Linked DNA regions of Macaca mulatta. Each later gene encodes a partner of the first gene's protein in a complex. Links are inferred from orthologs where the notes say so. Each region holds a gene or a part of one and is shown in the gene's direction. Other genes may lie near its edges.

What was found. The genes of interacting proteins can lie anywhere in the genome.
Region 2: the proteins of SMARCAD1 (region 1) and TRIM28 are in contact, whole or in part, in a crystal structure (PDB 6H3A), measured with the Homo sapiens proteins. The link is inferred for Macaca mulatta from reciprocal best matches to the Homo sapiens genes SMARCAD1 and TRIM28. Residues at the interface, in NP_001362784.1 of Homo sapiens: Asp156, Leu157, Ala160, Lys161, Gln163, Thr164, Glu167, Leu168, Phe169, Asp188, Gly189, Ala190, Ala192, Leu196, Ala201, Gly202, Gly203; in NP_005753.1 of Homo sapiens: Arg330, Trp333, Thr334, Lys337, Ile338, His341, Leu376, Lys377, Ile379, Val380, Asp381, Val383.

Annotation. Positions count from the first base shown.
Region 1 is NC_133410.1:103,630,563-103,634,191, forward strand, and holds part of SMARCAD1 (SWI/SNF-related matrix-associated actin-dependent regulator of chromatin subfamily A containing DEAD/H box 1), read left to right. Parts: intron 1-645; coding exon 646-834; intron 835-1,527; coding exon 1,528-1,646; intron 1,647-2,875; coding exon 2,876-3,058; intron 3,059-3,629. UniProt on the Homo sapiens protein: DNA helicase that possesses intrinsic ATP-dependent nucleosome-remodeling activity and is both required for DNA repair and heterochromatin organization.
Region 2 is NC_133424.1:70,682,081-70,686,203, forward strand, and holds the start of TRIM28 (transcription intermediary factor 1-beta), read left to right. Parts: upstream 1-1,289; 5' UTR 1,290-1,587; coding exon 1,588-1,927; intron 1,928-2,256; coding exon 2,257-2,369; intron 2,370-2,595; coding exon 2,596-2,728; intron 2,729-4,123. UniProt on the Homo sapiens protein: Nuclear corepressor for KRAB domain-containing zinc finger proteins (KRAB-ZFPs).

The DNA of each region.
Region 1 (3,629 bases):
ACTGCAACCTCCACCTCCCAGGTTCAAGTGATTGTCCTGCCTCAGCCTCCTGAGTGGCTGGGATTACAGGTGCCCGCCACTACGCCCAGCTAATTTTTTGTAGTTTTAGTAGAGACAGCGTTTTACCATGTTGGCCAGGCTGGTCTCAAACTCCTGACCTTAGGTGATTTACCCACCTTGGCCTCCCAAAGTGCTGGGATTATAGGCGTGAGCTACTGCACCTGGCCAACCCATTTTCTTTTTTAAATTTTTTTATATTATTTTAAACTTACGGAGAATTTCAAACATTTATAAAAGTAGAATTTCATAATGAAACTGTCTGCTCATATGTTACTTCACCCCTTTGAAAGTTACCATTTGATAATGACACCACTCTTCTTTCATCTATACCCCAGACTTCTCCCCAGGATTATTTTGAACCAAATTCTAGGCGTTATTTAATCTGTAAATATTTTAGTATGTTATCTCTAAAACAGTAAGGACTTCCCCCCCTTTATTATACCTAAAAGATTAACATTAATTTTCCTTACACTAAAAGGTTCTATGATTTAGGTATTTTATCAGGTGTTAATTTTATTAAATTTTTCTGATCATACTATAAATTATTTTTATTTTGAAGTATACTGTGTTCTGTTTTGTTTTAAGGAACCTACACATTGTGAGGCTAACCCTGACCTGATCTTTGAAGATATGGAAGTTATGACAGACTTTGAACTACATGTACTTTGTAAACAGTATCGACACATTAATAACTTTCAATTAGACATGGACTTGATTTTAGATTCTGGAAAATTTCGAGTTTTAGGATGCATCTTGTCTGAATTGAAACAGAAGGTATTAAAGAAGAATGGTGTTTCTTGTATTTTCTCAATTACTTAAACTTCTTAAAGCAATTCTGGCACACTGACTTGCTTTAATTAGCTTATGTCTGTTCTGCATTCTTCCAGAACTTAGTGTTTTGAACATTTTCTTGACATATTTTCTTGATTACCTCCTTTCCTCTGTTGAACCTCAAAAACAATAGAAAGTTAGTAGACTGTATCTGTATTGATGTTTTGAAAAAATCTTAATTGTCATTATTTCATAGGTGACAATCTGTATGTGTGCTAAGAAATTAGTTTTTAAAAACACCATTCATTAAATAGTTATTTAAGTAATACTGCCGTTTATGTGTGAAATAGCCTAAATTTGTAAAATCACAGTCCAGATAGGACACACATATGCAATTGTTCATATTTTCTGACATTTTTCTTACGAAAAGGAAGTAATTTAACTGTTCTTAAAATCAAAACTGAGAGCTAACTTTTAGCCTTGAAGTTTAGAGGCTAAGGCAGTATATTCATATGTAGGCTACAATAAAATGTATATCTTCGGTATTATTGATTTCTATTAAAGAAGCAGTTGATCATAGAGAATTTTCTGCAAATTTATCAACATGATATAAGTAACACTTCTAACTGTTTAGACCTGTCAAGGCTTAAGTAAAACAATTTTTTCTATTTCTAACTCGTATATCTATTTTCACAGGGTGATAGAGTTGTATTGTTTAGCCAATTTACCATGATGCTGGATATCTTAGAGGTTCTGTTAAAACATCATCAGCATAGGTACCTCAGATTAGATGGAAAGACTCAGATTTCTGAAAGGTTGGTATACTTCATGTTCCAAAAAAAAAACCACTCATTTGTTGTTGTTGTTAGAATTTTAAATGTCTAGAGTACTTGATAGAATTTTGTTGTTTTTATGTTTGATTACTTCAAATCATTGCCTTAAAATAAGAGTAATTTCAATGATCAGGCCTGGTGGCTCACACCTGTAATCCCAACACTTTGGGAGGCCGATGACGGTGGATTGCTTGGGCTCAGGAGTTCAAGACTACCCTGAACAACATGACAAAACCCTGTCTCTACTAAAAATACCAATAACAACAACAGCAACAAAAATAGCTAGGTGTGGTGGTGCACGCCTATGGTCCCAACTGGGGAGGCTGGGATGGGAGGATTGTTTGAGCCCTGGTGGGCAGAGGTTACAGTGAGCCAAGATCACACCACTGCACTGCAGCCTGGGTGACAGAGTGGGACCCTGTCTCAAAAAATAAATAAATAATTTTCTTTTAATTTTTCTGTCTGAATTGCATACAAATACCTTTTGAAACAGCTGTTAGAATTGTATTTTTTATGATTTTCACCTTTAAAATTTTTTCAAAGTCTAAAACACCTTATCTTTCATCAAGATTGTTTTAAAGTCTTTCATATTCTATGGGTAAAGTTTTTTTCATTCCCAAAGGTTGTAAAGATTGACCTTAGTAAAGAAGGGATTGTCTTAATAAGGAAGGAATTGTGTAGTATGTTTAAATTGAATTATATATTTTGGTTTATTTTTTTTCTGTTGTCCAGAGTGGTTTTTTTCCCCCCAGCATTAGAGTAAAGGTAAAAATAATGTTGTGTTTTGTTTTTTTTTTAAAAGAGGAGAATCCACTGATACAATGATACACTGATCGTGAGGTCCTTGATTCATCAGGAATGCTGTCTGCCAGTAGGAGCTGATATACTTCTGAGAAGGCTAAAGATTGAAAAGCCATACACAAAATTTAGCTAAGCCACAAGTTAAAAAAGAACAAAATCGTCATTTAGGAATTAATTGAATCTGAATAGTTGAATTGAAGTAAGAGTTGGTAGGGGTAGCAATATCGTAGAAAAGAAGTTGGTGAATTGAGGAGGCTCTTCCATGATATAGCCAGAGGAGAAGTAACTGCAATACCAAGGGATGTATATACATCTTCGGGTTTCCTTTTCATGTGATAATGATTGTTTTCCATTTTAATTACATGATACAACTTTTTAGTGAGATTTAACCTAATTTGTTTATCTTACAGGATTCATCTAATTGATGAGTTTAATACCGATATGGATATCTTTGTGTTTCTGCTATCAACAAAAGCTGGTGGATTAGGAATAAATCTGACTTCAGCAAATGTTGTTATACTTCACGACATTGACTGTAATCCTTATAATGACAAACAAGCAGAAGATAGATGCCATAGAGTAGGCCAGACTAAGTAAGTGTTTTTAGTTGAAATGTATTTTTAATTCAGTGCCACTTTAATTTGTGTAGACCAATAGAATATAGTGTTGGATATCCTGCCTTAGTTTTTATTTTTTCAGCAAAGCATGGCTACATATGTATTTTATGCCAGCAGTGTTGAACATCGACTGCACTGAGTAACCCTTCCATTTTCTAGTAATTAAAACCATCCACCCGGATTCCAAATAGTTCTGCAGTTCATGAAGTATTAACAATTGTCTGCGCCTTTGAAAAAGATGAGTAATTGAAAAGACTTGCTTATTAGACCAGTTTAAGACCCAGACAAACTTCATAATACACAAATTATTGCTGGGCTGTCCTGTTACCCTTTAGGAAGTAAACTGAGTTGTAAATTATTTTAGATGAATGGTAATTTTGACATTGGTCACAGCACTGTAAAGAGGTGAAGATAGTCGGGTGCAGTGGCTCACACACTTTGGGAGGCCGAGGTGGGTGGATCATGAGGTCAGGAGATCGAGGCCATCCTGGCTAACACGGTGAAACCCTGTCTCTACTAAAAATACAAAAAAAAAGATTAGACAGGC
Region 2 (4,123 bases), on another chromosome or scaffold:
GGCGGGTTGATCACCTGAGGTGGGGAGTTGGAGACCAGCCTGGCCAAAGTGGTGAAAGTCAGTCTCTACTAAAAATACAAAAAATAGTCGGGCGTGTGGAGGCGGATGTCTGTAATCCCAGCTACTCAGGAGGCTGAGGCAGGATAATTGCTTGAACCCGGGAGGCAGAGGTTGCAGTGAGCCGAGATCGCGCCACTGCACTCCAGCCTGGGCAACAGAGCAAAACTCCGTCTCAAAACAAACACAAAAAGATTTCTTCTTTTGAGATGGAGTTTCGCTCTTTTCTCCCAGGCTGTAGTGCAATGGCATGATCTCGGCTCACTACAACCTTCGCCTTCCGGGTTCAAGCGATTCTCCTGCCTCAGCCTCCCGAGTAGCTGGGAGTACAGGCGCCCGCCACCACGCCCGGCTAATTTTTGTATTTTTAGTAGAGACGGGGTTTCACCACGTTGCCCAGGCTGGTCTCGAACTCCCGACCTCAGGTGATCGACCCGCCTCGACCTCCCAAAGTGCTGGGATTAAAGGCGTGAGCCGCCGCGCCCGGCCACATTTTTTTCGATCTGTTGTCTAGGCTGGCGTGCAGTGGCACAATCCCGGCTCACTGCTGCCCCGGCCTCCTGGGCTAAACGGAGCCTCCCGATTCGCCTAAGAAAATGGTGGGATTACAGGTATGAGCCACGGCGCCCGTCTGTGATCTACATTTGATTTAGGCAACTTTCTGTGTTTCTCAAGTTTAACTATAACGTGGTTAAAATTCAAAAGTCAGCCCCTGCTCTCACACAGGCGCTTCCTCCCTCCTGGGATGGAGCCTGTCCTCCCCTCTCCCGGGGCACAGCCCTTTACTCCGTCTTGGCCCCGCCTACTTCTCCATTGGCCCTGCCCCCTATCCCGAACGCTTAGTGACGCAAAGGCTGGAGACGACTCTACGCGAGCGAAAAGACGCGGGTTGAGGAAGAGTTACGGACTGCCCATGCGCTTGGGCGCACAGCGGCCCGCTTCGGTGTGGTCTGGAGGTGGAGCTGAGAGGGGAATCACACTCTATAAAGGTGCGCACACCCCACTGGCGGATTAAATTGCGGCAGTGACGTCACAGAGGGACCGCCCCGCCCCCACAAGACCCCACCGACGTGGGGTTGGCCGTGGTGGAAGGACCCGGAGTGGGCGCGTGCGTACTGGCAGCCTCTCCCGCCCCGACCGGCCTGGGCCCCGCCCCCGGGCGTGCGGCGCCCAATGCGCGTGCGCGGCGGCGTCGGCGCCAGTTATTTCTGTCCCGCCCCCCGGCCTCGGCTCTTTCTGCGAGCGGGCGCGCGGGCGAGCGGTTGTGCTTGTGCTTGTGGCGCGTGGTGAGGGTTTCGGCGGCGGCTGAGGAAGAAGCGCGGGCGGCGCCTTCGGGAGGCGAGCAGGCAGCAGTTGGCGGTGCCGCAGCAGCGTCCCGCGCGCGGCGGGCAGCGGCCCAGGAGGCGCGTGGCGGTGCTCGGCCTCGCGGCGGCGGCGGCGGCGGCCCAGCAGTTGGCGGCGAGCGCGTCTGCGCCTGCGCGGCGGGCCCCGCGCCCCTCCTCCCCCCTGGGCGCCCCCGGCGGCGTGTGAATGGCGGCCTCGGCGGCGGCAGCCTCGGCAGCAGCGGCCTCGGCCGCCTCTGGCAGCCCGGGCCCGGGCGAGAGCTCCGCTGGCGGCGAAAAGCGCTCCACCGCTTCTTCGACCGCGGCCTCGGCCTCGGCCTCGGCCTCGGTGTCGTCGCCCGCGGGGGGCGGCGCCGAGGCGCTGGAGCTGCTGGAGCACTGCGGCGTGTGCAGAGAGCGCCTGCGACCCGAGAGGGAGCCCCGCCTGCTGCCCTGTTTGCACTCGGCCTGTAGTGCCTGCCTAGGGCCCGCGGCGCCCGCCGCCGCCAACAGCTCCGGGGACGGCGGGGCTGCGGGCGACGGCGCCGGTAAGTACGAAGTGATCGGGGCCACCCCTCCCCCTACTCTCTGCCTTTGATTCCCACTGGGTGCAGAGATGAGGATGCCACCTGGGCAAGAGGATGGGGGCCCGGACAGTGCACGGGGAGTACTTTCTGGGTCCTGCATAGGAACGTGGGTTTGAGCTGGCCGCTGAGATGAGACATCTGACTAAAGTTGGAGAAAGGGCTCAGGGAGGGGAGGGGAGGGGCTGCCTCGCTGCGGGGTAATGGTCGGGGGCCCACCCAGCACGGGGATGCGGGGGGCCATAACTTGGGTGGGAACTTGTAACAGTCTCCCACATCCCTGCCTCTTGAAGTGGTGGACTGTCCCGTGTGCAAGCAACAGTGCTTCTCCAAAGACATCGTGGAGAATTATTTCATGCGTGATAGTGGCAGCAAGGCTGCCACCGACGCCCAGGATGCTAACCAGGTGCGTCCAACCGCAGCAACCACAGGGAGGTTTCTGGGGAGGGGGCATCTGCCCAGGAGGAGCTTGACACCAGCTCCCAGGCTGTTACTCGACTTTCCCAAGGCTCTGGGTGGGCTGTCTAGGCTGGGTCAAGGGACCAATCTTAATCTTGGGTTGTATTTTCTGAGGTGTAGATGTGGATCTAGCAAGTTGTCTTGCTTTCTCTGACCCTGCCTTTGTCTGGCAGTGCTGCACTAGCTGTGAGGATAATGCCCCAGCTACCAGCTACTGTGTGGAGTGCTCGGAGCCTCTGTGTGAGACCTGTGTAGAGGCGCACCAGCGGGTGAAGTACACCAAGGATCACACTGTGCGCTCTACTGGTACGTGAGGCTGAGGGGGCTGTTGCTTTCCCGTGTGTGCCCTCAGTTGCTTTTATAATGTTGGTTGCATTTGGTGGATGGGTCCTAGAGTTGTCCAGGGGGTGCCGCCCGAAGGGCTGGAGAGCAGAACTCCAAAAGCAGGAAAATTGTGGTTGTGGTGTGTAGTCTCTAGGGCTTAGGTGGGAGGGGGTGGGAAGGGGAGACGTGGAGACCTTAATGTGCTGCAGGGAGGTACAGAGGGTTTGAGGAAGCTTATCAGGGAGTTCTCAGTCCTGGTGTTGAAGGGCTCAGAATATGCAAACAGGGAAAGGCATGGTGTGAAGGGCTTACTGGGTTTGTGGTTCCCTGGCACACATCTGGTATAAGATGCTGTTAGGGAAAATGAGACTTTGTGGGTCCATGGGTTATAAGTGATGGTGATTTCTGGAAACGTTTTAGCTTTTGAGTTGGCAGAGACTTACCCGGAGTTTGGTTTGGCATTTCCAGCTTTTCGCAGACACTCGCTAGCTTTGATTTGGAAAGGAGCTTGAGAGTCTTTTGAGTGTAGCCCAGTTTTTGGGCCAAAATCCTCCCATGAGTGGCCTTTTGGTAGCCATACCGTGATTCTTCCCATCCCAGAGGCCAGCATTGGTGGAAGATAGTGGGAAAGTGGCGGCTGTGGGGCCTGAGGAGCCAGGAGGGATAGGCAGGGGCTGCAGGGTGTCCTACATTCCAGACGTCCCAAGCAAAGGTCAGGGTGCAGGAATGGTGGCACTGGGGAAGTCAGTTTCCCCAGTGAGCCCTGATGCTACGTATTTTGGATTTGGTTGGTATGTTGGACCACTATGCTTAATCGGTTTTCTAATGGGGAAGCAGGCTTTGAAGGTTATTAATGTGTTGGTCTTGGGGTGGAATTATGCTGAGCACCAAGCTCCTGGTCTAGAGGGGGTGTGACCACCATTCTGAGGGTCCTAGTTTGACATTTTATCTCTCCCAGTATGAGAACCTCTACAGGTTTTCTCTGGGCTCTTGGGTTGTAAGAGACCCTGGTGTTTTCTTGTCACGAAAGAGGGAGGAAGTTAACCATGAAAGGAGAAGAAAAGGAGTCCAGGGTGGTTTGTAGGCAGAATTCTGAATATGTCCACTTGGAGAATAAAGGGAACAGTGTGTGTGGGGGGGTAGTCCTCTTTTTCCGGAGGCTGTCCTTACCTTTACCTTTGTGTCACCTCTAGAAGCTAGAAGAAAGGGTTGTGTTTCTCAGCTATGTTGGGGCAGAGGTTTCTGGGAGCAAGGAATTGGGCTTGCAGGCCTGTGTTCTTCGCTGGCCACACCCTCTACATCTTCCCAATAAATGGCCCAGTGTCACAGAATGGGCAGGAAATGAGGCCCCAACTTAGTCTGCTTCCTGAGTTGGGG